Schizosaccharomyces pombe: one gene and its partners. The protein of the gene in region 1 interacts with the protein of each later gene in a pairwise test. Each region holds a gene or a part of one and is shown in the gene's direction. Other genes may lie near its edges. The genes, in order: ctr1, brr2 and ntr2.

Region 1 (9,017 bases):
CGTCGGTCGTCTTTCTTGGAACGTAGATGATCAGTGGTTAGGGCAGGAATTTGAAGAGTACGGTACAATTGTTGGTGCACGTGTTATTATGGATGGCCAAAGCGGTCGCTCAAAGGGTTACGGCTACGTTGATTTTGAGACCCCTGAGGCTGCTAAGGCTGCTGTTGCCGCTAATGGTACCAAGGAAATTGATGGTCGTATGGTCAACTTAGATCTCTCTAATCCTCGCCCAGCCAACCCTCAACCATATGCTCAACAACGTGCGGGTAATTTTGGAGACCAATTATCTGAACCTAGTGATACCGTATTTGTTGGAAATTTGTCTTTTAACGCAACTGAAGATGATCTCAGTACGGCTTTTGGCGGTTGCGGTGACATTCAATCCATTCGTTTGCCCACAGATCCTCAGTCAGGACGTCTTAAGGGTTTCGGTTATGTTACTTTCTCTGATATTGACTCTGCCAAGAAATGTGTGGAAATGAACGGTCATTTTATTGCTGGTCGCCCATGTCGTTTGGACTTTTCAACTCCTCGTACTGGTGGAGGTAGCCGTGGTGGTCGCGGTGGATTTGGCGGTCGTGGTGGATTCGGTGGCCGTGGTGGATTTGGTGGCGGACGTGGTCGCGGTAGAGGTGGTGCTCGCTCTGGAAACCCCAACCGTGGCTCGGTTGCTCCATTTTCTGGGAACAAAGTCACTTTTGACTAAGTATACTGGCTTTTAACTATATTGAGTTCATTTTTATGGGTTAAATGTAAATACCTTAGCAAATTAATATATGAGTTTGGGTTTTTGGGAAACTTTTTGGCATAAAGGGTTTTAATAAATGTTGGGCTGTGGATTTGATTTAATTGGGTTGAAGTATTCAAATACAAATGACTTGTTTGGGTTTGTTATGGAATGAATTTGGGTTTGGTTTGGTTTTATTGACTTTATAAAGATAATAAATATGGGCCCGTTGGTTTTACAATTTCAAAGCAGTGATGGTTGGCGTTGTTCTACGGTTTAGTTCATGTATTCACCTTTCCTTTATACGTTCCATAGAAGCTTTTGACATAGCTTTAGATAGGTTTTAATATAAAATAGAATCTTATTTAGTTTTGTTCTTGTTCATCTAATCAATCCATGTTACTCACAATCATCGTTGATCACTTTCTAATAGCTAGTAAATGAAGACCGTTTTGTGTTCCTTTTTGGGCTTTTCCATACGGCACTTTAAATTAATGATTTTTTGTTGAACTTTGATTGTGGTCTTACCCGTAATCATAAATGAAGAATGTAGTCGAGCCATTGTCATATTGTCTTATATCTTCAACTTGTAATGTCTCGTCTATTAAATTAGGTAAGCATCAATAGAAGGTATCATTGATTCTACATTACAAATACGCTTCTATTTCAACTTTTAAATTAATACAAGCATGTTTACTTACACTTTGGTTGCGATTATTTTAAGCAAATTAAAAAAAAATATTTTTGTATATCAAATTATAATATAGCTAAATTCAATTGTAACAGTAGTGATGAGTTCTGGCATATTCAAAAAACGGTTGTAGAATAATATATCCAGCGTTACTAAATCCGGCAAAGGAACTGTCTACTTAACTCTATGAACAAAGCTTCTAATACAACACTGTAAATTTGGTTCCTTAGATTCCCCTTACCACACTGATAAACTAGTAAATCAACTATACGACTAGTGTACTGACTTTCCAGTCCAGATGAAGTGATTGAGTGATGGCAGAAGGTGATTTTAAAAATGACAGTACAGGTTGTATTGGCGATAGCGTGGAATTTACTACTTTTAAAAAACGTACAGGAAAAAGTCTCGGTAATAGAAGAAAAAAGAGGGTATTTCTTAAGCTTTAGAAAACCCGTCTAATAAATATTAGGGATTGTCTGGATGGGAGCCTTATTTTCAAGAACCCGAACTGACAGCTGAAGAGAAATTGGAAAATGAGACATTATACAGCAGGTGAGAATACAAAATATTGTGTCTTACTAACACTTCTAGGAACATACCATTGACTGTGTTAGTAAACAGATGTTAAGGACTTTGCTGACAAATTAGGCGAATGGAGCGATTTATTCAAAGATATCGATCACGCAGAAAATGGAGCGACCCTACAAGAATAAGACTGTTTACAATGTATCTAGATTTAGGAGGCGTTTCTACGGGCCAAAAACAGTTTACAGGGGGTACTGATATTAATAACGATGCGAAGGCACGAGAAGTTTCCGCTCAAACCACGACTGATTATATTGAATACGATATACTTGATGAATATGATATTGATTTTAAGTGGGTTGCTGGAGTATTTCTGTGAGTCATTTATGTTTCCATTGAATTTAATTCACGTTGTATTTTAGCTAATCAATTTAAGGTCGTCACACATTTTGTATAACGCTGGACTAACTAAGGAAGAGGATTTGCAAATAGCTTGTCAAATTGTTAGAAATTTTCTGCTAAGTGTTTTGCATAACAATGTTGCACCAGAATTCGAAGATAATATTCGTGACGCATGTTTATTAGCAGAGCAAGCAGAAACTGAATTAATTTCTAATAAGAGGCTATCAACTAAACTTCCCGGTAGATTGCAGCGGGCATTGGCTAGTATACATGTTGACAATTATAAAGGCTTATGGGACAAATCGCAAAGTGATAGGACAAGTGATAGTTCAGTCAATTTCATTGAATCCAATAATACCAAATTCATGCCAAATGATGAACTATTTGAGCCTGATGGAATTAGTAGATTTTCTACACAGCAAGCGCGCGACTACATCCAGAGAACTCTTGGTCCACGATATTTGACTGGGAAAGTCGTTGAACAAGAGTACTTAACAGTCAAGTTAGTTTCTAAAACGCTATTGAATTTTTCAAACCAATCTTTATGCAAAGCAGTGTTTATCGTTTGGGATCCACCCGGATCTAAATATTCTCAAGATACAAATAAGGAAAGACTAGAAGTAATTTTGGAATCTGATTTACTGAACAACACTGTTGATGGCACTCACTTAGAGGGATCGTTCACTTTTTTGGATAATGGACTGACTATATTAGACACTGTGCTTGCTGTGCTACCCACCTTTTATGAAGAAGTTAAAGATGAATAGCATTGTATTTTAATATAGTTACTTTTGTAATATAGCTGGATATGAAATCCTTTAATTAGTTGCTTCTTCTTATTGTGATGAGGATAAAGTTCTAACATATATTAATGACCCGTTGGTGAGTTCGTACTTCCCCCAATTGCATAAACAATAAGTATAAGAAATTATAATTCCCAATCACATAATAGATATTACTTGTGTATGTAATTTAATGTTTTCAAATATTTTTATACAAATACGTCAAACTATGCGACAATATTTTGAAAGCTAGATCGTGCAGAAGTCGCTTCTGAGTCAGTATTGAGCAATAAGAATTATTCGGATGATTTTTTCAATAATCTTAAGTTACTGTCAGGCTCAATGCAATAAACACGATCAAAAGAACATTTAAAGCTATAATGTGTATTCACTTTTAATTGTAAACACAAACGATTAAAAAATTTACGTGTATAAGTATTTTTCCTCTATGAAGGCTAAAACGTTATGTGGAAAAGAATAGTCAATCATCAATAACGTTCATAACTTGTACTATTGAACAAGTCGTGCTGGGTAAAGATAGAAATCAAGTAACTGGATTGGAAGTTGTGATTAGCATAGCGAAACGCAGCGCCTATGGCGAAATAACCCAGGTGAGGAAAAGACACCTTACAACTCCAAAACGACGAAAATAAATTGGTAATTGTTTTACTGGGTTAAGTGTATTGTAGAAGCATAATTGAATTGAAGAAAGTAATTGCTGTTCTTTTGGACCTGTTATTTTTGTACAGGAGTAAGCAAACTACGGCTTTCTGCAATAACTTGAATGTTTTGATATATTTACACATTCTCAATAATTTAAAAGAATTGAAAATAATTATTAAATTAATTAAAAAAATTGAAGTATCGAGTAGATGAATGTTGGAAAGAAATCCGAAATTCAAGTCTCAGCTAAAAGCAATCTTAACTTCCTTAATGAACTAATTGAGGAAAAAAAGCGATACGAGGACGAGAAGCGCAAGATTAGCCATCAAAAGTATACCGATAAATTATTGGAAGCCAATGATAACGAGACGACCAAAAGGAAATTACTGGTAAAACAAAAAAGAAAATCCAACAAGGAATTTCAAAGTAATATTATCAAAAAAAGAAAGGACGAGGAAAGAAAAGGAACTTTAAAAACTGAACAAGCTAATGAGGAAGAGCTGTTGCAAAGAAGTCGTCTGGAACTGGAACGAAAAGCTAAAAAATACGACCAGTATGCTGCCGGAGAACTGGAAATAAAGGAGACAGAAGATGATGGAATCCTTGTCGACTTCACACGCAAATGGGCTGAGGAAGCACCCGAAAATGAAACAGTTGAAATAACGGATGAATTTGGGCGAACCAGGAGTGTCTCTATTTACGAGACCGGTAATACCCTACTTTCACAAAAGGAGGAGTACAAGCCCGAAAAGCCAATATACGGTGACTATATGCCATCCTTCGAAGTAGACGAAGAAAAGGTTCAAAAATTGTGGAAGGAAGATGAGCAGCAAGCAGTTCATTATGACTCGACTAAGGAAGTAAGGAATAAAGGTACGGCATTTTACCAGTTTTCTTTTGACGAAAAAGAAAGAGAAGAGCAACTTCTATCTTTAAAGGAGATTCATGCTAAGGTTACACAACAGCAGAGAAAAAACACAGAAGATGTGTTAACCTTACGAGACAAAAAACTTGAAGAACGGCGGAAATTTCTTGAGCGAGACTATGCAATAAAGTTGGGGGAGAGATGGATGTCTGAACATTTTTCTAATAATTGAGGTAGAAACTAATGAAATGAAAACGTAATGATAACGACTCATAAACAAAAGCTTCTTAGCGAAAACAGAGAAATGTAATAGTACTGTAGGAAAAAAGGAACACGAAATCACCAAAAACAGCAGTAGTTTTCTTCTTTTTTGTTTTATTTTAACGAATTATTTATTTCTGATTATTGAATTCACAATCAGTATGAATGTGAAATATTAAATTATGTATTTTGGAGAACCATTTTTTTGTTGCGTATTTATAAAATTAATAAGGGAGAAAGGATAGGGAAAAAAGCACAAAACATATTAGCAAGAGTATACAAGCAAGTGAAAAATAATAACCAGTTGGATGGTCAGCTTTACTTAAGCATTCTTTTATAAATTTTTTAATTGGCGGCAGAAAAAGGAAAAAAAATAAACTGGACGGCCAAATATATCAAAGCAAAGAAACGTTCTGAGGATATTAAGAGGAGAAAACAACTTATATGTTTTAAAAACAAAAAACAGAAGGACAATCTATTAAAAAAAGAATCAAAACTCGAAAGCCAGCTAAGACTGTAACGGAATTAAGAGGACTTTGGGTGAACGGCTTTTGAAGGCTTTTGGATGCAACCGCCTCCAATTTCATAAAGTCGGTACAAAGCAAGGTATCCGCATACCACAATGTCCAAGACAATAGCACTCAACGTTGGCAAAATCAGAAGAAACGCAATGGTGAATGCGGAAATAACCACAAATTTGATAAGGAAAGACAAAATTTCTTCAAGCAACATAACTAAGTATATATACAAAACTAAAAGATACGTTTTGAAATGCGGAAAATGATAATTAGGAAACAGAGGAATATGACTCAGACTTTCAAAACAGCAGTTATAACCGACCGTGTACGTTTGTAAAAACAATTGAGAATATTATTAAAGTTACTATTCTCGTTTTTAATATTGGATCACTAGAAGATATTGATTTGTATGGGTTGTAATTTGAATTTCAGTAAATCAATGGCGGTAGATAATAAGGTAAAACTGAATTCCGCTGTCGAATTCAGGGCAATCTCAGCATTCCCGAGCGGTGCTTTACGAAGTGTAGTGGTGTGCGTTATTTTGCTGAAAATTGTAAACACATAAAAAACCAAACTTCAGCAAGAAGAATAAAAAAAACGGAACTGATTGGTTGTTTATCGAAATTTTTGCTAGTTGAAATACAAAATTTTTGTTTAAATATTAGTGCGAAAGAATAAGGTCTGCAAAAAAGAAAAAATGGTCTGTTTATTAGAAAAATAAGCGAAAGTTGTTTAATGTTTATACCTTTCAGTGCGCTTTTTCCATTAGTATAACTTATTTTTCGTTTTCAACCCTCTTCTATCGTTTTGAAATTTTTTTTATATTAATCGTACCATCATCATTCTCTACTCGTTTCTTGATGTTTTCGGCAATGACATACATTTGATTATACAGCCAAACCCAGTGAAATTGTGTTGGAGTGCAAAATGTATTACGACACGATATACTATGCAATTTTTTTTACCAACCGCGTATAACGCATACGGCGTAATAAGCCGTTACCATATCGTTATTTAAAAGTTTTAATTAGAAAACAGCGTAATATAACGGATATGCACAAAATGCGTTAGCATTGAAAGCTAATGAGGTCTTGTGTCTCCACACTCGAAATTGCGGGGCTTGACTAAATTCAAGAACAACAAAGAGAAATGCCTGCTACATAAGGGATTTTGCCTGTGAAATGTGCGCAGCAGATAAATGTAGATCACGGAAAAAATTTAAAGTAGCACTTGGATAGTATGATGCGTTTACAAGGAAGTTGCTCAAACAGCAGAATGTCTGGCTGTAAACAGGAAAATGTCGCAGGGGGCGAAGTGATAAAACTCAGGGTTTCATGAAGTAAAAAGTTTTGAAATTTTTTACTAAGGTCCAGAGTTGGCTGTTTTTGTAAATTTTTAATCAAGTTTGCATGATTGCTAAGTAAAAGTTGAATGTCCTAATTTGCTCGTCCGAATGTGCTCTTTTTTTTTTTTCAGCGCACTCGTTAGACAGATAAAGTGAATGTTTTGCTAGGCCATTTTCTCGTTCTATTTTGCCTCGATTGAAACGTGGTATGTTTGCAGCTAAAAGGTATGTACAGTTAAGCCCAGTGGAGACAAAGATGAAAAGGAAGTAAAGCGAACTATGAAGCGAAACTATAAAGCAAAAACAGCTAGGTCGGGGAAAATTTCTACAAGAATTGCTTAAGTTCTAAAAATTTAAGTGTTTACTTTTAGCAAGAATAAATGTGTTTTCCTTTATTTTATTTTGTATTTTTTTTTTCTTTTTTTTTGGGGGGGGGGTAGATGGGGTGCAGCGACTCTTTTAGCAAAAGCTGCGTCCACCCATAAGTGCGAAAAGACCACGTCTGTCTTTATTTGGCGTTGTCGCTATTGATTTGAATATTGGCAATAACTATAACGCTTATGCCAAAGAGAAACAAGTCGGTATAAAAACAGGTTGATATTTTAAAGCGCGATTTATTAATGTAGTTGTTAAATAATGCAGTATGGTACAGGAAAGGAATAGAGAGCAAGGTAAAGAAAAGAAGTGATGAAGGAGGGAGGTAAGAAAAAAAGAAATCTCATATTGATTTTTTTTAAAGGTATTAAAGAGTATATTTAGAATGTTTGGATAAAATATATATCTCATGCGTCCATATTCCTTCAGTCATTCATTCCTTCATTTATATACCTCTACATCTCTTTTTTTCTTTCTTTTCTTTTTTGTTTTCTTCATTTTCATTTTCATTTTTCTCTTTCTTTCCTTACCTTTTTTTTATTCTTTTGATTAGTTCCTTTGTTTGTTTACATGCGCTTGCATCTTACTTTGTCCCTCTCCTACCCCTCCAATCTCATAGTACAACTACTTACTCTCTATGCTCTCTCTCACATCCTTTGTATGCTTACACTCTCTCCCCGTCGCCCCTACGTATTACCTGCAACCTAGTTATCAAATTATCCTTCCATTACCCGGAGCTTCTACATCATCCGTTGTCAACACATTGGCCAGATCCCGCTCTCTCCTCCTAATTCGTTTCTAAAATCGTCCACATCGTCTATCTATGATAACATCGGTCTCCAAGCATTAGGGGCCTTATCTTAGATAAAATAGCAATCACTCGTCCTTTTATCAGGAGCGTGGTAGCCGAGGCCTTTTCTTGGCCAATGAAAAGTCATCATCAGTCATAGACTATGAAAAGGAATGCTACCACCCTTATCATTGGTGGTTGTTTTTGATACTGTTTAAGCGAGGTTATTTATTATTACGTAGGTGCATTGATTGTTATTTGTTTAGAGTGGACATTACTGGTGTTGTTAATAAAATGCGTATTTGCGTTAATGCAGGTGGAGCATGAAGAAAATTGAATTTATCCTTTACCAAATTCAACATTACTACTCTCTTATTCCTTCTTCCTTCTTCCTCTTTCCATCTTCATTCCCATACCCTACATCCATCCTTGATTTCCATCATTCCATACATTAGATACGTACATCTATCTAGTTAGTTACATTAGCCATACACTACACTACATACACCCCATTGATCAACTCTTTCCATTCCATTTTTTTCTTTACCGGATCGTGATTTGTGTATTGTCGATTCATCGTGTATTAACATCATCCATTTCAATCTCACTATAAACTGGTTGCCTTTTAGTTTGTTTTTGGCCCGAGATATTGGTTTTCTTTCTTTGCTCTACTTCCCCCTTGCTTCCATCCATCCCTTACAACTTTGGTCTTTTTTGTCGCTTGTTACCTATGGCCCTATCGCTTTTTCTTTTCCAGCATATATTGTGATTTGGTTTTTTTTTCTTTCACTGACAGTCCTCTTTCAACGAATCCCTCTTTATAAGGCCTTGTATTCTTCTTCTTCTTCTTCTCCTTCTCCATTAAACTTTGTTGCTAATCGATCCCCTCAAATCGTCGTCCAATCTTGGTTTGAAAAATTTTTTATTACAATTATTATTTTTGTTTCGTTACGAACTTGGCTAATCAGCTAGTTACGAGCTCGTCTGTTCTACTCTTTTTTTTTCCGCTTTTTTCTTTTTTCCCCTTTTCATCTTTCATCCTTTGCTTTCTTCCATGTAAGCCATATATATTT
Region 2 (12,753 bases), 440 kb from region 1:
TGGATATTCTCTTCCACTCGTTTGTCTTCATTGTTTAGTAAATTCAACAATTTTGTATCATTCGTATATTCTGTAACCACTTGGTTTTTAAAATCATCGGTTATCGAGATTTGATTAACAAAGTTGATACTATTGTCTTCTGAATCTTTTGGAATTGGTTCTGTTTCGTCAACAATTCTGGATAAGGCATCAGCTATGTGATTTGCTGATCCAGGTCTGTAGTTAATTTCAAAGTTGAAGTCTTGTAAAAATAATTGCCAACGAGCTAAACGTTTGTTTTCAGGCTCGGATTCGTTAGTAATGCGACCAATTAAGTTTCGATGGTCTGTTAAAATTTTGAAAGGTTCGATAGTGGATTCTAAATAGTGTCTCCAATGTTTGAGAGACTTAATGATTGCAAGCATTTCTTTGTCCGATACGCTATAATTTAATTGTGCTTTAGACATCTTTGCTGAATAGTATCCAACAGGATAGTATTTATCATCATCATGTTTTTGAGACAATACGGCTCCTACAGCGACATCTGAAGCATCAGTTTCCAGTAGAATCTTTTTACTGAAATCAAAGTGTCGTAGCACCGGAGGAGAAACTAAACATTGTTTAATGTTTTCTATCGCTTGGGTTTGTGTTGGTGTCCATTTCCAGCGTACATCCTTTTTCAAAAGATTATTGAGTGGATGTGTTAATTGTGATGTCTTTGGAATGAATTTCCTAAGATAATTGACAGAACCTAGAAATTGTCGTAATTCTTTACGATTCTTAGGTTGCTTCCATTGTAAGACTTTGTCTATATTTTCTTGACAAGGCGTAAATCCTTTTTCCGAAATGTGATACCCTATAAATTTTACTTGTGATTGGTGAAATTCACATTTTGCTTGATTGATAATTAAGTTCGCATTTTTCAATTTCTGTAGAACGTCTTTAACATGTTTTACATGTTCAGATTCCGATTTTGAATGAATTAAAATATCATCCATATAACATACTACATGTGATTCTTTGGCTTCACCAAGTATTGTATTGATAAAGTATTGAAAATGTGCTGGAGCTGTAGATATGCCATAAGGCATTACTAGATATTCAAAAACTCCACGAGGACAGCGAAAAGCAAGTTTATGTTCATCTCCTTTTCTTACTCGTATCAAGTGATAGGCACTTTTGAGGTCAAGTTTAGTAAAAATTGTAGAACCTTGTATTTTAGCAAGTAATTGTTCAATAAGTGGTAACGGATATATATTGGGTTTGACATACTTATTTAAAGGTTTGTAGTCAACCACCATTCTCAAGGTGCCTTCCTTTTTCGGAACGAACATTACTGGACAGGCGTTAATGGCTTTAGATTCTCGTATAATTCCACTTTTTAATCCTTGATTAATTTCATCATTCATAGCTTGCATTTTTCCCGGTGGTAGCGGGTAATTTCTGATAGGTAATCTGTAGTTTTCTTGAGTTAGTTCAACTTCAAATTCTAACCCTTTTATTGGCTTTGGTAGCTTTTCCGTATTGGTTTCTGCAGTAATGTCTTTGAATTCTTTATAGATATCTGGTAACTCAGGTTCCTTGACAATATTTGAAACTTTGTTCATTTGAGAGAGCGTGTGTTTACTGCTAGATATTTCAATGTTATTGTCATATAATGTTGTGAAGGAGATAGCAGCTGGATGCGAAAATTTCTTTACAACCAAGAATTCTGTTTTGATTGATATTCCATTTAGACTTATGTTAAGTTTTATTGTTTTGCGATTAATCTTATTTGGATAAACTCCACCATATATCACACTTTTTGACCAGGGTCTGGTAGGCAGTTTATGTGCTCGAACAGTTTCTTCTGTTATAATATTTGCTTGAGCGCCCGTATCGATTAGACAGGGTATTGAGCACTTGAAGTCTGGAAGTTCAGCTTGTAATACCATTTCGTAACGTTTCCTAGTATGATTTAGGAATTTGTTAGATGAGTATTCTATTCTCGAAACATTTGTCTTCCTCAGGTTTCTGCTATTAGTGGTGTTATTTTTCTTTGAAAGGGACTCTTTTCCTAGATTTTTATTTTGCAGTTGAAAACGCTTGTGAGTTTTACCATACGAGGCTGTTCTTTTGTCCTCTAAAAAGTCATAAATTTCACTGATTTCTGATTTCCAGTAATTTCTTTCCTTTAATTTCCTTAAGGAATATGGCAGCATCCATAATATAAACAAGCGAGTATGGAAATCATCAACATTTGCTTTTGACATGAGTTTCCTTATAAATTGAACTTTGTCCAATTGATTTCTAAAACCTTCAAATGTTTTAGTTAAACGATCACCTTTGTTGGATCCTTGTACTTTCCCTGTTTGTCTGAGTAATTCTTGCCATGTAAGACTTCCATTCTCAGAAAACATGCGTTCAGCGAATTGTTGCTCTAATTCTTCTAGGTGATTCAATGTATACTGTCTTTTAGTATGCTCATTTGGGAATAATGAAGGGTATTCAGTAAAGTGTTGATCAAGTTTTGAAATGTAACTTTCAACATCCTTATTAGGATCGAATTTCCCTATCTCTGGTACATGCTTCGATAATATTTTTGCAAAAAGGTTTATTAAATGTTCGTCTGATGTTTGAATTCCATCCAAATTCTCTGGTCTCCATCGTTTTGCTCTTGCTTTCATATAACGATAATTTGCGTAGGACATTGTATATGTTTCCCTTTGGGAGATTTCAAAAGGGATAACAGTCCTTCCAAAGTTCTTTCTCCTTTGAACCCAGAAGGAGAGAAATATATATATTTATGATATATATTTATTCAATAATTCCTTTTTCCTAAAAGGAGTTAATTGTAGATCACAAGAGTTCAGTTATTGTAAGCTACGCAGTTTGGTATCTGATTTAAGGATACGTAGAACTGCGGTGAGCTTTCCTTGTGATCTATTATATTACAATACACAGGTTGTATAAGTAGCAACTGAGTATAGGTATTGTATTAACTGGGTTATAATGTTACCTATCACTAATATAGCTCATAACTGAACTGAGGAACGAGGTTCAGCAGTAGCTCTATTTATAGTATTCAGATAATATTGATCTTAATAGATTATCATTAAGATCAATCTCCATATCGTATCATACATGGTACGATATATAATTAGAACATGTGACATATAGTGATACTCAACGTAGTGTATTATAGCGTAGTGTAGTATTGCTGACAGAAATGAACACTTCTAATACCTCGAAGTAGACGAAAATTGAAAATTCAGTTTATCCTCCGCCACTCACAATCATGTCGAGTGCACATCCTAAAGGGGACTCGAAAGAGCCTCCCAAACATGGAAATAGTAAGGAGAAGCCAAACTATGGTCAATCACAGTATAGTTATTCTGCAATGTCAAATTTGGTTACGCAGGCTGATCGAAGATTTGTGTCACGACGTGATGCTGAACCTACAGGCGAACCGGAATCTCTGGTAAATCGAGTTAGTATTGCAGATATGGGTTCTAGAGCGAGAATTGAAAAACCTAGTACCCTTCCTCTCGAATTGACGCAGGAAGTTCAGGAGGTCCGGTTACCTCGTAAAGATGCAGAATCCTTAGAAATTGGTATACGGCAACCTGAACGCGAAAAGCGCTCTTCAGCGATACTTAAATATTTTGATTCTTTTGAAATTTTGAAATATAATCCTCTAACCGACGAGACCCGAGAAGTTTATGATTATATCTTGAGTTTCATTCAACAATACCTTGGCGATCAGTCTCCTGAAATCCTCCGTTCTGCTGCTGATTTGATTATTGAACTTCTTAAGGATAGTTCTTTAGATGAACAAGGTCGTAAAAAGCAAATAGAGGAGGTTTTGAGTACTGAACTCCCACAGGATCGGTTTTCACAGCTCGTTAACTTGGGAAATCGCTTAACAGATTATACAGTTGAGCAAGAAGAAGAGTTAAATGAAGAAGGCGTTAATGAATCTGGCGTACCAGTATTGTTCAATGAAGCCGATGAAGAGGAAGAAGCTGTTGAGGCAATGGAAGAGGATGAAGTGGCAGAAGATGAAGACGTCGTCTTAGAAACTTCCATATCTCAAGAAGAAGAGAAAAAGAATATTGAAAATCCGGATACAGAGGTTACATTTATTTCTGCTGATACCAAAAAAGTTACCGAAATACCCACTGTTCATCCTCGTGAAATCGATGCATTTTGGCTGCAACGAGAAATAGCAAAATATTTTGCTGACGCCGTCGTTTGTCAGGAAAAAACAAATCAAGCGTTTGAGGCACTTTCGGCTGATTACGATCTCGGTGAATTGGAAAATGAATTGATGAGTATTTTTGATTATGAACATTTCTATCTTGTTCAACTTTTGACTAAGAATCGTTGGACAATAGTTTCGTGTACAATGTTAAAACGCGCCGCTACTGATGAAGAACGCTTAGGTGTGGAAGAGCAAATTCGTGCTGCTGGTCGGTCTTGGATTCTCGAAGCTCTACGCCCTGGTGCTATCACTATACCTGATGACGGTTTAAATGAATTAAATAATAATGTTGTTGAGAAAGCTGAACCTGCGCCCGTTTCTGAAATTCCACTTTCGAAAACTTTGACTTCCCATAAAATTGTACCTAAGCACCAAGTTGATCTAGAAAATTATGTGTTTACTGAGGGATCACGTCTCATGTCTAATAAAGCTGTCAAGCTACCTGAAGGCTCGTTTCGTAGGACTGGTAAAGGGTATGAAGAAATACATGTTCCTGCCCCCAACAAAGCCGTACTTGGCGCTGACGAGCGTCTTGTAAAAATCAAGGAACTGCCTGAATGGTCTCATCAAGCTTTTCTTAATACTCAATCTTTAAACCGAATCCAAAGCCATCTTTATCCTATCGCTTTTGGTACTGACGAAAACATCCTTTTATGCGCTCCTACTGGTGCTGGAAAAACAAATGTAGCAATGCTATGTATCCTTAACGAATTACAAAAACATTTACGTGAAGATCTTAGCTTTAACTTACAAAATTTTAAAATTGTTTACATTGCTCCCTTGAAGGCGTTGGTACAAGAGATGGTTAATAATTTCTCAAAGAGGCTTACTCCATACAATATTCGAGTCGCAGAGTTAACTGGTGATAGTCAATTGACTAAACAACAAATTAGTGAAACTCAAATAATTGTAACCACACCCGAGAAGTGGGATATTATAACTCGAAAAGCTAATGATTTATCTTATGTCAATCTAGTCCGTTTAGTTATTATTGATGAGGTTCATTTGCTTCATGATGAACGAGGTCCTGTATTAGAATCTATAGTTGCTCGTATATTTCGCCATCAGGAGGAAACTCTTGAACAAGTTCGATTAGTAGGTTTGTCTGCTACACTTCCTAATTATACCGATGTTGCCAGTTTTTTACATGTCGACCCTAAAAAAGGGCTTTTTTACTTCGATTCGACATATCGTCCATGCCCTTTAAAGCAAGAATTTATAGGCATTACAGAAAAAACACCGTTTAAACGAATGCAGACGACTAATGAAGCTTGTTATGAAAAAGTTATGCAACACGCTGGCAAAAACCAGGTCCTCATATTTGTACATTCGCGCAAAGAAACCGCTAAAACCGCTCGTTTTATAAGAGATAAGGCACTAGAGGAAGAGACCATCGGTCATTTGTTACGCTCTGATGCCGCATCCCGTGAAATTCTTCGGGCTGAAGCCGACTCTACCAGTGATGAAAATTTGAAAGATTTGCTCCCATATGGGTTTGCCATACATCATGCTGGTATGCGACGAGAGGATCGCCAAACGTCTGAAGACCTTTTTGCCGATGGTACTATACAGGTACTAGTGAGTACGGCAACTCTGGCTTGGGGCGTAAACTTACCAGCGCACACAGTGATCATCAAAGGGACCCAAGTTTATTCTCCTGAAAAGGGTATCTGGACAGAACTCTCTCCTCAGGATGTTTTGCAAATGCTTGGCAGAGCTGGTCGCCCACAATTCGACACATATGGTGAAGGAATTATCATTACCGCCCACTCTGAGTTACAGTATTATCTATCACTAATGAATCAGCAGCTTCCAATTGAGTCTCAATTTATGCGCCGTCTAGCTGATTGTTTAAATGCCGAAGTATCGTTAGGAACTGTTCGTAGTATCGAAGATGGCGTAGACTGGCTTGGTTATACATACCTCTATGTTCGAATGTTACGATCCCCTGCCCTATATAGCGTCGGCCCAGAGTATGATGATGACAAATATCTTGTTCAAAAAAGAGCTGACTTACTTCATTCAGCTGCCATTTTATTAGAAAAATGCAAGTTACTAGTGTATAATCGTCAGAGTGGTACGTTGACCGCTACGGAATTGGGAAAAGTTGCTGCAAGTTATTACGTTACTCATAACTCGATGGCCATATATAATCGTCTTTTAATGCAGACAACATCCTTTATCGAGTTATTTCGAGTCTTCAGTTTTTCTGATGAATTTAAGCACATTCCTGTCCGTGAAGAAGAGAAAGTTGAACTCGCGAAGTTGCTGGAAAGAGTACCAATTCCTATTAGGGAAAGATTAGATGAACCTGCTGCCAAGATTAATGCCCTTCTCCAATCATATATATCAAGACAACGCCTGGATGGATTTGCACTTGTGGCAGACATGGTATACGTTACGCAATCAGCGGGTAGAATTATGCGTGCAATATTCGAGATATCATTGAGACGTGGTTGGTCATCTGTTGCAACACTCTCTCTTGATACATGCAAAATGATTGAGAAAAGGCTTTGGCCAACTATGAGCCCCCTTCGACAGTTTCCCAATTGTCCTTCTGAAGTAATACGCCGCGTTGAGAAAAAGGAATTTCCTTGGCAGCGATACTTTGATCTGGACCCTGCTGAATTAGGAGAATTAGTAGGGGTGCCAAAAGAAGGGAGGCGTGTGTACAACATGGTTCAGTCTTTTCCAAGGTTGAGCGTCGAAGCACATGTTCAACCTATCACAAGATCGCTTGTGCGGGTCGAACTTGTTATAAATTCTCAGTTCAACTGGGATGATCATTTAAGCGGCACTTCTGAAGCTTTTTGGATCCTTGTAGAAGACGTGGACGGGGACCGATTGCTACATTATGAACAATTTTTCCTTCTTAAAAAATACAAAGATGATGAGCATATTGTAAATTTTACAGTACCTTTGTTAGAACCTCTTCCTCCTTGTTACTTTATAAAGATAGTTTCAGATCGATGGTTACACTCGATAACTAAGGTACCTCTTTCATTTCAGCGCCTGATAATGCCAGAAAAATTTCCTGCGCCAACACCTCTTCTTGATCTTCAGAACGCCCCGGTCTCTAGTCTTAATAACCCAAGCTTCATTTCCCTCTACCCTAATTTTAAATTTTTTAACAAGATTCAAACACAGGTGTTTAACTCTGTTTATAAAACCAACGATAGTGTTTTTATTGGTGCTCCCAATGGAAGTGGAAAGACTGTTTGTGCCGAACTTGCTTTGTTACATCATTGGAGTCAAGAAGATTATGGTACTGCAGTTTACATTGCCCCAATTCAGGAAATCGTTGATCGTCGATATGAAGAATGGTATGGCAAGTTTTCTGACCTCGGTGATGGGAAAGTTTTGGTAAAATTGACGGGTGAGCGTTCACAAGACTTGAAGCTGATACAAGTTGCTGACTTGATATTTTGCACGCCATCGCAATGGGACTCATTGTCGAAGAGATGGAGAAGTATGCGAAGCATTCAGAAAGTTGATTTTTATATATGTGATGAATTACAATTGCTTGGTGGATTTTATGGTCCATTATACGAAATAGTGATCTCACGGATACGGTACATGGCAGTACAATTAGAAAAAAATATCCGAGTGGTTGGCCTTTCAGTATCTGTTGCTAATGCTCGAGATTTGGGTGAGTGGCTTGGGACTAGTCCACAATGCATATTTAATTTTAGTCCTAAAGACAGGCCTAATCCTCTTACTATTCATTTGCAATCATTCAGTATTACTCATTTCCCTTCCCTTATGTTGGCTATGAGCAAGCCTATATATCGCAGCTTGAAGAACTTTATTTCTCAGAGAAAGTCTACTATTGTATTTACTCCTGACAGGAAAGTAGCGAAACAATTAGCTTTTGATTTAGTTACATTCAGTATGGCTGATGAAGATGAGTATTTGTTTTCGTTAATGGAGAATGAAGCTTTCAATAAAGTTGAAGATGCTGCCTTGCAGCAATCATTGAAGCATGGTATTGCTTATATTAGTGAAATCACATCGTCCAATGATCAGAATATTGTACAATATCTTTACCGTCATGGACTTATCAAGGTTTTGATAGCTTCTCGCGATGTTATTTATTCCTTAAAAGCAAAATCAAACGCTGTTATTGTGATGGGTACTCAATACTATGATGGCAAAGAACATCGTTATATTGATTATCCTATAAGTGAGTTATTACAAATGCTCGGGTTTACTGCTAGCATTGGATCAAGTGAGCTTAGCCAGGTTATTCTTATGACTGTCACTACTAAGAAGGAATATTACAAGAAATTTTTAAATGAGCCATTACCCATGGAAAGCCATCTTCAAGTTTGGCTGCACGATGCTTTCGTGTCAGAAATATCTACGCAAACCATTGAAAGCAAACAAGATGCTGTAGATTGGCTTACATGGTCGTATATGTACCGGAGACTAGTTGCCAATCCTGCCTATTATGGTCTTCAAGATATCACTCATGAGTCGGTTTCTGAATTCCTTTCGGATCTTGTAGAAACAACCATGAATGATTTGAGTGAGGCACGCTTAATCACTGTAGACGATGAGGATGATAGTTGTGTCGCATTAAATTTAGCAATGATAGCTTCTCATTACGGAATTACATACATTACTATGCAAACGTTTGCTTTGAGCTTGTCAGAGCGCACGAAGATGAAGGGATTACTAGAAATTGTTACATCAGCAGCAGAATATGAGCAACTCCCAATTCGAAAGTATGAAGATATTGTGCTGGAGCGAATTCATTCCCGCCTGCCTGTTCGCTTAAGTAATCCTAACTATGAAGATCCTCATACGAAATCATTTATTCTTCTTGCAGCTCATTTTTCTAGATTTGAATTGCCTCCTGGTTTAGTTATAGATCAGAAATTCATTTTGACTAGGGTACATAATCTTCTGGGCGCTTGTGTTGATACATTGTCTTCCGAAGGCCATTTAATAGCTTGTATTAGACCAATGGAGATGTCGCAAATGGTTACGCAAGCTTTATGGGATCGTGATAGTCCTTTAAAACAGATACCCTATTTCGACGACGCTTTAATCGAACGATGCAATAAAGAGGGTGTTCATGATGTCTTTGATATTATCGATTTGGATGACGAAAAACGTACTGAATTGTTACATATGGATAATGCACATCTTGCCAAATGCGCAGAGTTTATCAATAAATATCCGGATATTGACATTGATTTTGAAATAGAAGACTCTGAAGATGTTCACGCTAATTCACCCTCTGTGCTTATTGTTCAACTAACTCGAGAACTGGAAGAGGATGAAGAAGTTGATACGACTGTCATTGCTCCTTACTTTCCAGCTCAAAAAACTGAACATTGGTGGCTTGTAATTTCGGATGACAAAACCCTCTTGGCAATTAAGAAGATTACCTTAGGTAGGTCCTTGACTACCAAGATGGAATTTGTGCCCCCGGCAATGGGAACTTTAAAATATAAACTGAGCTGCTTTAGCGATTCTTATATGGGTGTGGATTATGAAAAAGAATTTGAATGCAACGTTTTGGAACCTTTGGACACAGAAATGGAAGACGGGGAATAAGGTATTGTGCAAAATATGGATAATTCCCAAATTAAAAATTTTGACTTGAGGGTCAAAAGAACTGTTAAATAATTATTTTTTGAATTCATTGTATATTTATTTGCTAATTAATGGATGGTTTGATTCTTTAGCTTTTCTTTTTCAGCAAATTTATTGATGCCATCAGCGTGTGCAAATTCTTAACAACCAAACATGCATTACTAGGTATGCAATGATTTCATATGAATACATGAACATATGTATATATTTATAATTAATGAAGTCAAATTTTGATTTTCAAATAATGCGAAGATAGATTTTCATGTTCACTTAGGAGAATTGTTTCAGTGATGCTATTGAAAGGAGAGGTGTAGCGAGACCTGTGGTAATGTAGATAGTTAAAGTAATTTTCAAATGTTTTAACCTGAAATTCAAAAAATATGCAACGTTTATTACCCAAGACTGAAGAAGCGAAGAGTTAGATGTTAAACTACTACAATACGCTGATAAAAATCAAGCAACACGAGTTCTTATCCTGCGCTTCTATTAAAAATATTAAATATCGTATTTACTACACTTATATACATATTGATATCATTTTGTTTTTGTTCATAAACCACCCAATGTAGATTCAACAATTATCGCTAGATATATATATATATTTATAAGCGAACAGAAGCTATAAAATTATTAAGAGAATACAATGATTAGTTATTCTGTGCACATAAATGTGGAACCACTAGCACTAAAGTGTTGAGATTTACAAGGAGGACTACTGAAGTGCGAAGTAACACCGTTTATATCGTCAAAATATAATGTTGAATTTACTATATTTAATCTTACCTAGCCAGTACTTACTAATTATAAGGGAAAAACTCGACGTGAATTGTTTGCTTGCTTATTCGCGATTACTAGATTTAGAAGAGAATTTTCCCCCTTCAAATTGCAGAACAGTTTAAGAGGTCGTTTTCTGAACGCGCGTATTTGATTGCTTATTTACCAAGAAAGTGTAATGGTCAACATTCGTAATATCGAGAGATCCGAAGTTGAAGAGGTTTCAAAATTGGAAGCCATTTGCTTTCCTGAAGCAGAGAGGGCTTCTTTTGCTAGGGTAAGTGGATTCTGAGACATTCTCATTGTTAGTTATCTTGTCAATGATTTGTCTACGCTTGTTTTTCGAATAGCCAGATTAACTAAACGCTCAATAGATTAAGGATCGGGTAAAACGTGCTCCGGAGATTCAGTTAGGACTTTTTGCTCCTACTCAACATACCAGTACTTTAATTGGACATGTCTTGACTTCTAGAACAGGTAGCGAAACTGTTACACACGAATCCATGTCTAAACATGATTCGAAAGGAGAAAACATTGCTATTCATTCACTATCTATTCATCCTGCTCATCGTAAAAACGGATATGCTAAGAAGCTCATTGAAGAGCTTCAATTCCGTTGTCAGCACACCATTACTCCCAAGCCCAGTCGGATGATTTTAATATCTCATAAGCCTTTGGTCCCCTTTTATGAAAGCTTAGGGTTTAAAAATTTGGGTCCCAGTGAATGCAAGTTTGGGGATGAAACTTGGTATGACATGACCCACAAAATATAAGACGTTATGTTATGCAACACCTGGGTTCCGTTTACTTTTTGACTCGTATATATTTATATTCATATACATTGAAACTGTATATTGAAGAAATAGAAAGATGAGCGGAAGCTGCTAGAATTCCTCTTCGTCCTTTCCTTATCGTTCGTTTTTTACATACTTCTTTACTTGTAAGAAAATTTGGCTATGCTACGAACTCCAAATATATTTGATTGTTTTTGATATATCATACGCTAAAATAAACTATCCTTAACTACAAGTTTACATTAAGATATCTTGTAATAAGTAAATTTATTTTTATCGCAACAAACCACTTGACGACTGAATACAATTTAATAAATTCCCTCAATATAATAAAGTAGGAAATGATAGAAAAGTATACTTCAAGTCATATTGCAAGACATAAACCGTAAAAACTAAAAATTAAATAATCCTAGTTGTAAAAATATTCACCATATCCTCACAAAATCACTCACGTCCTAAATAAACACATCAACAAATATAAAAGGATTGGGTTAAAGCAAATGACGGAGATAAATGAAAAAGAGGAATTCTATATTGCATCATTATAACCGACATAAACCAAGTTCTAATACTGTAGCTTTAACATTTCTACTTAGTGATCGGAAGGAACGGACATGACTGGATAATCATAGTAATCAGGGGAATCATAAATATATCCGAACTTTTTCAAAAAAGAGTATAAACATTCGGGACCATCGGAACCATACTCGTAAGGCTCGGGTACAGGTTTCTCTTCCTCCATATATTTCAAAAGAGGATCAACTAAAGACCAGGCACATTCTAATTCGTCGATACGAGCAAAACGGGATTGGTCACCGGCAAACGCGTCCAAAAACAATGCTTCATATGCTTCATGGAGCTTCATGTTCTTAAATCTACGAGAGTAAGTCAAGTCCAAATCAGTAAGGAGGGGAGCCTCACTAAGACCGGGTTGCTTAATGTTCATCTTGAAGTAAATAGCTTCGTCTGGCTGAACACGGATTACGAGCTCATTATGATATGCGTCCTTAAATAAACCATTTGCAGCAGCTTTGAACTGAACACGAATCTCTACCTTGCCAATATCCATGGCTTTACCAGCTTTAAGTAAGAAAGGAACGCCGCGCCATCTTTCGGTATCAATAAAACAGGGAATAGCTGAGTAAGTGGGACACCTACTACCCTTGGGAACAGTCTCGTCATCAAGGTAGCCAGGTTTTTTACCGTCCTTGCTTTTGACATATTGACCAAGAACAATATCTTTGAGATCTCCCAATCGAGTGCGACGCAATACCTTGACTTTCTCGTCACGAAGATCGTCTGCAGAGAAAGTGGTCGGGGTTTCCATGGTCAAAAGGGTCAGAATTTGGACAAGGTGGT
Region 3 (9,147 bases), 1.7 Mb from region 1:
GTCCAGCCAAGTTTCCTATTCATTCAATCGATTTCATTCGATTTCCTTTTCTTTCCTTTGCAACGGTTTCTTTTCTAGACCCATTTCTCGGTGGTTTGCTTTTTTTTTTCGCTCACCATCCTCCCACATCAATCCTTACCTGATTTTCTCTCTCTCACGCACATACTCTCTCTACTGCCTTGTGCTCTCTCTGTCTCTCTCCCTTGTCCTCTTTCGATTCTTAACCTCGTAAATCTTACATCCATTTTTCGGACTTTGGTTTTCGGTACCGGTGCGCATCGCTGTCTCGCTTTTTTTCCTCGCTACGCATCCTTATTGCTCTCTTGGGATTTCGCCACTTTCCCTCGCCTTGCTTGTCTTGTGTTGCCTAGCTGATTGCATAGCCCATACTTCATTTGTGTTTATTACACACCGTACCCCCCTTGTTGTGTGTATACGTTTTTAAGGTCTCGCTATTTAAAGTGCTTGCCTAGTCTGGACACGCTCCTACTCTCTCCCATTCACTTTTACTTTTCACTCGTCTCCCAACGGTTCATCCTTTCTTTCCTTTACTTTGCTTTGCTTCGCTTTGCATTCGGAACCGGTTGTACTTTTTTTTTCTCTTTTTCGCTGCGTGACTTATTTATTTGTATTTTACCGAATTCCTCTAGCATTCCAGCGTTCTATCCTATCACCACTTTTTTTTTCATTTTTCTTCTTTTTCCCCTATTGAACGATTTCTCCTCTTCCCTACTCTATCGTTCCCTCTAAATTTTCCGTACCTTTTTGCAGATTCCTTACTTGGTTATATATTACTGACTGCTTTTGGTATCTTTTTTCCATTCTTCTTCTCGTCTCTTTCAAACTCTACCTTTCTCGAGAAGGAAAATTTTCCCTTTTACTTCCTCGCATACCGTATCCTCCTATTTAGCTATATCACTAGCGAAAAAAAGGACTACTCGATATCAAAAGGATTCGTTTGTTCTTTATATATTATAACATACATATACTGCACAGTATATATATATAAACCTATAATATACGGACACCTCTTTTTCCTGCATTGTATATATATTATATTTATATAATATATAATATAATATAATATATATATATATATTTGTCATTGTTGCTGTTGTTCTTTAACTTCATCAAAGAAAACACTTCTGTCCCCCCTGTCAGGTTCCTTCGTTTTTTATTGCACATATATATATATTTTTATTTTATTTTATTTTCTTTTCTTCTTCTCTTTCTGTGATTGATTAACTCGACTCGATTTTCTTTTTTCCTTTTCTTTATTTTCTCTCTTCCAACCTTTGGTTTCTTTTTCTTTTTTTTATTCTTCATACCTAATAATTTTCAGAAGAGACCTTGTTCATCGTTGTTTCCTTTTTCTTTCGTACATTGTATTACTTGTTTTATTATTTTTAAAATAAAAACTGAAGAACCCTGCTTCATCACAACCATCAGGTTTTCTTTTTCGTGTACCCATTCAGTGATTTTAACGAATTTTTCTTTCACGCCTCATTAAGGATTGTATTTTCGCTTTTTGTCTCATCAACAATCGAATAACTTTGTTTCTGTGTTTTTTTTTTATATTTTCACTTCAACAAGCTTTTTACCGCGAAACCATCTCATTTATTAATTTCCTTTTATTTCAGATCGATTTTGATTTTTATTCTTCCAATCCTCTTTAATACTCGATCTTTGTAACACTTTGTTTTAGTACTTCTTTTATTCCTGAATCTTTTTTTTTTTGCTCTTACCGTTACACTTTACGCAAGCAAAAAAAATTTCTCTTTTTTTTTTTATTAAATTGTTCTTGATTGTTCTATTAGCATTTCTTCATCTCAAGAGTTCTTAGACCTCTCGCTTTTTCGTCCTTGATTTATTTGTCTGTACGTTATAAGCTAAGCTTTATTTTGTTCATCGTTGAAAGATTCTACCACCCATTGTCTTATACTGGTTACGTTTTTTGACTTTTGTGTCTCATTGAAACTTTGTTGTTCATTCATATTACTTACTTTCTTTTACTTTTTTTTGGATATCTATTTAAATGTCTATTGACTGCCTTTATCGCCGTTCTTCATTGTTTGATACTTCCTTCGTCCCTTTGCATTCGTCTATTCCAGCAACCTCGAAAATGTCAGCTTCTAATTCAGATGTCAATGCCCCCATTTCCCCTGTGGTTGATGAGGGCAAATCAGAGTTAGTTTCTCCTACTTTGGAGAGACTTGTGGCTCCTTTCAACTGTTCTCCTAGCTCCACTCCACTTCAAGATGTAGCAGGTGTTGGCTCGAAAATGAGCGACACCTTATGGATGGGTGACCTGGAACCTTGGATGGACGCTACTTTTATTCAACAGCTCTGGGCTTCCCTCAACGAACCTGTCAACGTTAAAGTCATGCGCTCCAAAGCATCCTCTTCGGAAACGCTTATCAGCTATTGCTTCGTTCAGTTTTCCTCTTCTGCAGCTGCTGAGCGTGCTTTGATGAAGTATAATAACACCATGATTCCTGGTGCTCACTGTACCTTCAAGCTTAACTGGGCTACTGGTGGCGGCATTCAACATAACAACTTTGTTTCCCGTGATCCTGAGTTTAGTATCTTCGTTGGCGACCTTCTTCCCACTACCGAGGATTCGGATCTTTTTATGACTTTCCGTTCCATATATCCCTCATGTACCTCAGCCAAGATCATTGTCGATCCCGTTACCGGTCTCAGCAGGAAATATGGCTTTGTTCGCTTTTCAAGTGAGAAAGAACAACAACATGCCTTGATGCATATGCAGGGCTATTTGTGTCAAGGTCGCCCCTTACGCATCTCTGTCGCTTCACCAAAGTCTAGAGCCTCCATCGCCGCCGATTCTGCCCTTGGTATCGTTCCTACTTCTACTTCTAACCGCCAGCCTAATCAAGATCTTTGTAGCATGGATCCTTTGAACACTACGGTGTTTGTCGGTGGCTTGGCTAGCAATTTATCCGAGAAAGATTTGCAAGTTTGCTTTCAGCCCTTTGGAAGAATTTTGAACATCAAGATTCCCTTTGGCAAGGGATGTGGCTTTGTCCAGTACAGTGAAAAATCTGCTGCTGAAAAGGCCATAAACACTATGCAGGGTGCCTTAGTTGGTACTTCTCATATCCGCCTCGCGTGGGGTCATAATACGCTTCCTGTATCTGCCTTGTCTCAATCTCAATCCCAAGTTTCAGATGAGGGCTTCGACAGAACTCTTTCCGCTAACCAAATTTTCGGTATGAATCAATCTGTCATTGGAGCAAACTCTGGCAGCTCAAACTCATCCGGCTCTAGCTTGAAGAGTGCACCTGTTTCACCTCGTACTGCTGCTGCGCAATCTTTGTTGCCAAACTCCGTTGTTTCCTCAATCAATGGCATGAACTCCGTAAATTTTTCAACCATTTCTCCACCTCCTTTGTCTCGTTCAGCCTCCATTTCTCCTACGTTGTCCGGTAGTGGCTCAGGTTTGACACCTCTTTCTTCCCATTTCCCTTCAGCTGCCACTGGCTTGGTAGGCGGACAGGTGTATCCTCAGTCTTCTGTTTTGCAATCCTCAAAAATTAATGGTTCTGCAAAGGTCCAGCCTAGTGTGAAGCTCCCCGAATGGTTGCAGCCTTTTTCCGGCAACAATCATAACTCCTTTGCTACTCAAGATTTATTAACACGTGTTTCCTCCTTAAAGTTGGTTGATGATGAGCAACCTGCTTCTTTGAATGGTTCAGCATTTCAAGCGAGAGCTTCTAGGCCTTGGAACCTAGGAAGGGAGCGTCAGTCTTCACTAATTGATCTCCGTCATGAGTTGGAGCAAAATGAAAACGGTTTGGAGAAATCCGGCTTTGGTTTGAACTTGAGAGGTCGCTTGCCTCCTCGTTCTTATTCTACATTTAATTGTACTGGTCAATACTTGCAACCTTCTCTACGCTTGTCACGCGATTCATAAATTATTTTTATGATGTTTGAAATGCATTACTACTACTACTATTTGTTTCTTCCACTTCTCTTCTTAAGTGAAGGGATTTCCCGAATATTCTTGTTTTATTTCTAATGTTTTTGTTTTAATTTTTTATTTATTTTCGTTTTTCAAAGGCATCCGTATAAGTTTTCGAGGGCTCCTGATCAAGTTAGTTTAATGTCTTAAAGAACTGAAGGGTGCTCTCGTGATTTTTTTTATTTTGTTTTGTTTTTATTCTTGTATGTTAAATCTCTCTTGTGATGTTTTTTATAACTGTTGAATATTATTTGTGCCAAGGATTGTTTTATTTATGATTGTTTTATTTTTCTTTCATTGCTGTTGTTCCTTAATGCACATATGTACATGAAAACTTCCATTGAGGTTTTTCAAACGTCCAAATCTTTTTTTTGGATCGATGAGTTATTTATATGTTTTATTTTAAAATGTCCTTTCCAAAAAATAATTTTGTTATTTTTTCTTCTGATTTTCTAAATAATTAAAAGCATTGTTTTTGTTTTCAACTTATATAATGGAAATTTTCCAGTGACTGTAGTAGATATTGGTAGCTTGTCGATTGTAGCTTTTCAATTAAAAGTTTTAAATCTGAAACTTGAATTTCAAACACATTTCTCTAAAATTAGTCGAAAAAAATGTAAGTCAATTGAACAAATACTTTTCTGATGCTTTGCATTATCCGATGCACCTCTTCAGTATGTGCCATAATATTAAATGCCCAAGTAAAGACATTTATGTTTATCCCTTTCTAATTTTCACAGAACATAAAAACATCATTTTAATTAAGACTTTATATGATTTTTTTTTTACAAAAATAGCTATTCAATATGAAAGATTGGTAGAAATATGTTTGCCTAGAAAGTAGCACCCATTTACCAACATGCGACGATACTTAAAAAAGGCGAAGCCTAAAATCGTGCAAACGAGCGACAATGAGGAAGAAAAGCATGAAGAAAATTTAAACGTTTCTCAATCAAGTAAGAACTTAAAAGCGCAAAAGTGCTTGGGCTCGAATAGAACTTATTATCGCAAGTGTACTAACAATGCTTAGACAAAAATGCAAATAGAAGAAAAACAAAAGCGAAAGAAAAAAATTCGGGAAAATTTAGGGTGAAATATGAGAACGAGGTAAGTTGTTTTTTGCTGGAAAACGTTTTACCAATTCATCTGTTATATTAACAAACATTGATTAGGAAGGAGACGACGATGGGGAGGATTCTCAAATCCCTTTGATTCCAAAGGTAAAAAAGCAAAGCTCTTTTCATTCGGTTGATGATTTGTAAGTAAAATGTTTTAAGTCCAAGTATTAGTTATCTAATTAATAAAGAATATCGCGAAGAATGGATGCTCTCTCGCATGAAAGTGGATACTCCAATGCTTATGTGGATGAGTTAAAGAGAAAAAGTAGGCAGACACCATCAGAATTTACAAAGAAGGAGGAGGATTCCTCGACCAAAGAAAGCGAATTGCAAACAAGATCGTCACCTCCTTTACCCGTTAATACTAGTTTGGAATGGAATATGCTTAATCAAGGCATTCCTGAGGAAGCAATGATTAAGGAGTTAAAGGATCGAGAAGGAAGAAAGAGAAACATTGCCATGATGACGGATAATTACATTTCACTTGAAACAGGGGACCAACTGATGTTGGCACAAAATCATAAAGAAGAGAAATTGCTTCAAACGGAAGACGAAATTCAAGATGAAGGTTACTCTGGATTTGAAAATTACGTGGAGGAGTCAGAAAAACTTCAAGAAATATACCACCATAGCTCGGAAAGTTTACGGACACGATCAATTCAAATGGCCGTCGACCAGAAAAATATGGAGATGGAATTGGACGATGAAGACATAGCAGAGCCCATCCAATCATGGGAACATACTCAAATCAAGAAAGGTGCCTTTGGAGAATCTCCTGCTTTTACAAATGGACTTTCTGTGAAGCTTCCTAATATTCTTACAATGGATGAACAAATTCAGCGGCTAAAAGAAGCAATAGCTTCTGAGAAGCTTCAGCAGGAGGAGCGTTCACAGATTATTAAATCACTTATGGAAGAAGAACTCGAGATTAATGAACAAGAGGAAAAGATTAAACATTCTTTCATTGATTTAGATAAAACTTTGTTGAACAACCTTACCAAAAGCAAATCCTGATTTACTTTGGATTTTTTAATTGATAAAAAAAAAACAAAGAAGAAAGACATGGTCGATAAATTTACTTAACGCTATAACTTAGATTTACATTTCTTACAGAACTCTTATCCTTGTACAGTATTAATTAGCTGTTACAGCCCATCGGTGACTTGTTGAAATAGAAAAACAGTGCCAAGAAGTCACCGGGAATTACAAAAAAATAATGACCCGATATTTATGGAGATAATAGATATTAATTGCTAGAAGATTTCATTAGCTTTATCACATATTAAAGTTATAGCCTCTGAGTATTCAAAACTTTAGTAAGTAGCATTGTCACTTACAATGGATTTTGTGTGTTGAAGAGAATACATTTTACCTACTGCCAAAAAGTGGGTTTACAATAAGACTTGTCATTTTATCGTCTCAATGGCTCTGAAAAGAAGCTATTATGCGTCAAAAGATGATTATTCGACGAAAAGAATCCTCGAAATTATCGAAAGGCCATTGAAGAAGCTTACAATAGAGGATACTTCAGAATATGATGGTATGTATACTATCGATTAACCTTTTGAATAAATTTAAAAGGGAAAGCGAATTCTCTTACAATATCCTTTATTCCATGTCAATATATTAACAGTCGGTGCAGATTCTGATATTGAAATGCCAACCTGCAAGCGTGTAGCTTACTACAAAAATGAGTACACAATTGTTGTAGAAGACTTGGATGCTGAACTGGAAGAAGATGACAGCATAAATAAGCCTACAGAAGAGGCTGACGAAGCTCCACGGACACAACTTTCTGTGATCTCTCCTTTGGAAAAGAAATTGAAACGGGATTTTCTATTTTTGCTCTTGAATTCGAATCGGCAGCCAGGAAAATCATCTGGCAAGTCTTCAATTCCTTCTCCTGATGATTTTAAGCTATCGGTTAAGTACTCTTCTTCATCCGAAGATCTTGGTGCAGTCACCATCGAATCTCATCTTAATGTTTCCAGTGATGCTTCAATAAAGTATAAATCCAGCGGAACTAGTCAGTCTGATTTACTAATGGAAATTGGATGATTTATGCTCAATGACTGCATGCTGTTTTCATGATATATTATACAGTATTTGTTCACTTTGATTTTGAAAAATCGGAATTTTTTTGAATATGTTGACTGATAATTTAAAATAATTTTAAATATTCCTAACAACTCTGTTTTTCTCTACATTTTTCAAAGCACCTGTTTCTGTTGACACTCATTTAGTGCACATTAACGCTGAACGCTAAGGTTCTTGTCTTTTTCTATGACCTCTGTCAACCGTTACATTAGACAACGGATTCCCTAATGAATTGAGCTTTATCATTAGATACTTTTCTAGACAGTAGAAAATACTGTTTTTTGAGTAAATGCTGAAGAAGCTTTAACTCTTAACAATTGATTCCAATTCACATTCACATTGAGTCTCGCAATCATGCAATCCAAGTATGGTAGATCTTCCTTAAAAATAAAAAATGGTGATGATACTCGGACACTAAGAGCTCTTTCCTTTTCCAAGGACTCCGTTAATAGCTCGTCTTTTGACAATGAAGCCGCAAGCACCACCCTTGGAATTTCAACTGCTATCCATGCTTCCAATCGTCCTTTTAGGCAAGATGAATATTCATGGAATGATTGTTGGATGCGCTGGGGACAGTTACGCAGGGTTTCTTCCCAATTGAGAGAACTCAGATTTACCATGAATGATCAGCCTGCAACTGTCACGTCTATCGCTTATCAAGGTACGTTGTTAGTAGCTGGAACATCCTCTGGACACGTATTGTTGAATGATTGGCGAACGAATGACTTTCAAATCCTCAAGCCTGGTTTATCTTCTAATGAATCCGTTACTCTACCTGTCACTTCTTTAGCGATTTCGAATTCTAAAAGAATTGTATGCCAAGGACATGCTGGTGGCATTATTTTTGTTTGGGATGTTAGCCGAAAGCCTCCCCTACAGTTGTTTACAATTAATCAACATTCGGAAGATTCTGTGTTGACACACCTCGTATTTAATGGTAATTCTGATGATGTTTTACTTTCTACCGATCATCTCGGTAAAATTGCTGTTCACGAGTTTTACAATTTGGTTATTAATAAACATTGCACTTCCTGGAATCTAGATATGTCAAAATCAAATAGCTTAAATTTAGACTCTATTATTGTCGATACTTCCAGCATATCTTTTGAAGAACTTCACATTACAGGTGTGAAGCATTTTTCTTTCGTTGTACTCCAATCTTTACAATCGATTCAAATTGTGACTCTTTTTCCTAAAACTACTCTTATTTATGAATTCAAATATCCCGCCGGAATTGTTTCTTCTGCTTGTCACTCATTTTCCTCAAGTATAGTTCATAAAAACGGTGAGAATACCAAGCTGCATGCATTTTTTGCTACAGCATATAACAACAACCTTAGGTTGTATTCGGTTACTTTTCACAAGGGATACATGTCATTACAACTTATGGATAGAAAAAAATTTGCCAAAGCAATTTGGAAGCTCTGGTGGTTTCCTTCTAGTAGCATTATAATAATTTTATTCGATGATATGGAGTTAGCTTTTGTTAATAGCATGTCTTTGGACATCATTGGCACTTCTACCATATTGGATAAATCTCTTTTAAGGTGGGATTGGTATTCAAACTCATTAGCTGCAATTGGTGTTTCACAAACCGTTTTTCCCTTCATCTCCTCTAGTTTATGCATTTCACCTCGATATATGTTTGTTGTCAATTCTGAAACCGTCTCAGTTGGATCATTTTTAATGGTTTCTGAGCAATTACAAATGCTTTCAGAACGTTATGGATTTTTTGATTCAATTAAATTTGGGAGTTATTGTGTTTCAAATTTAAGTATTTTCCCCAAATTACTGTTGGAGAAAACTTCTGTGATTAATTTGATTATGGCTCTGTATGTTAAATTGCTGAAGTCATTGGCCCGTGATTTCCCTGCTAGATCTCCATTTGAAGCTACTAGCCAGAAAACGAATGATTATGAGCTAGAGGTTCAGCATCTCTTCACATGGACT

The links.
Region 2: the proteins of ctr1 (region 1) and brr2 interact in a two-hybrid assay, tested with the Schizosaccharomyces pombe proteins (one study listed by BioGRID).
Region 3: the proteins of ctr1 (region 1) and ntr2 interact in a two-hybrid assay, tested with the Schizosaccharomyces pombe proteins (one study listed by BioGRID).

What each region holds. Positions count from the first base shown.
Region 1 is NC_003424.3:1,898,320-1,907,336, forward strand, and holds ctr1 (protein ctr1), read left to right. Parts: upstream 1-3,756; 5' UTR 3,757-3,999; coding exon 4,000-4,887; 3' UTR 4,888-5,522; downstream 5,523-9,017. Other genes in the region: gar2 (nucleolin), read left to right, coding at 1-706; arb1 (argonaute inhibitor protein 1), read left to right, coding at 1,733-1,846, 1,888-1,970, 2,010-2,027, 2,067-2,318, 2,380-3,112; SPOM_SPAC110.06 (uncharacterized protein), read right to left, coding at 7,409-7,501.
Region 2 is NC_003424.3:1,455,763-1,468,515, reverse strand, and holds brr2 (U5 snRNP complex subunit Brr2), read left to right. Parts: upstream 1-3,236; 5' UTR 3,237-3,256; coding exon 3,257-9,787; 3' UTR 9,788-10,071; downstream 10,072-12,753. Other genes in the region: Tf2-1 (retrotransposable element/transposon Tf2-type), read right to left, coding at 1-2,669; SPOM_SPAC9.02C (polyamine N-acetyltransferase), read left to right, coding at 10,779-10,877, 10,975-11,373; zwf1 (glucose-6-phosphate 1-dehydrogenase), read right to left, coding at 11,987-12,753. UniProt on the Schizosaccharomyces pombe protein: Involved in pre-mRNA splicing. May be involved in endoplasmic reticulum-associated protein degradation (ERAD) and required for growth at low and high temperatures. Required for pre-spliceosome formation, which is the first step of pre-mRNA splicing.
Region 3 is NC_003424.3:3,565,234-3,574,380, reverse strand, and holds ntr2 (spliceosome complex disassembly protein Ntr2), read left to right. Parts: upstream 1-4,835; 5' UTR 4,836-4,841; coding exon 4,842-4,938; exon of another isoform or gene 4,939-5,012; coding exon 5,013-5,089; exon of another isoform or gene 5,090-5,154; coding exon 5,155-5,240; exon of another isoform or gene 5,241-5,288; coding exon 5,289-6,114; 3' UTR 6,115-6,399; downstream 6,400-9,147. Other genes in the region: RNA-binding protein Csx1, read left to right, coding at 2,036-3,934; SPOM_SPAC17A2.07C (uncharacterized protein), read left to right, coding at 6,523-6,640, 6,743-7,158; WD repeat-containing protein Vps8, read left to right, coding at 7,552-9,147.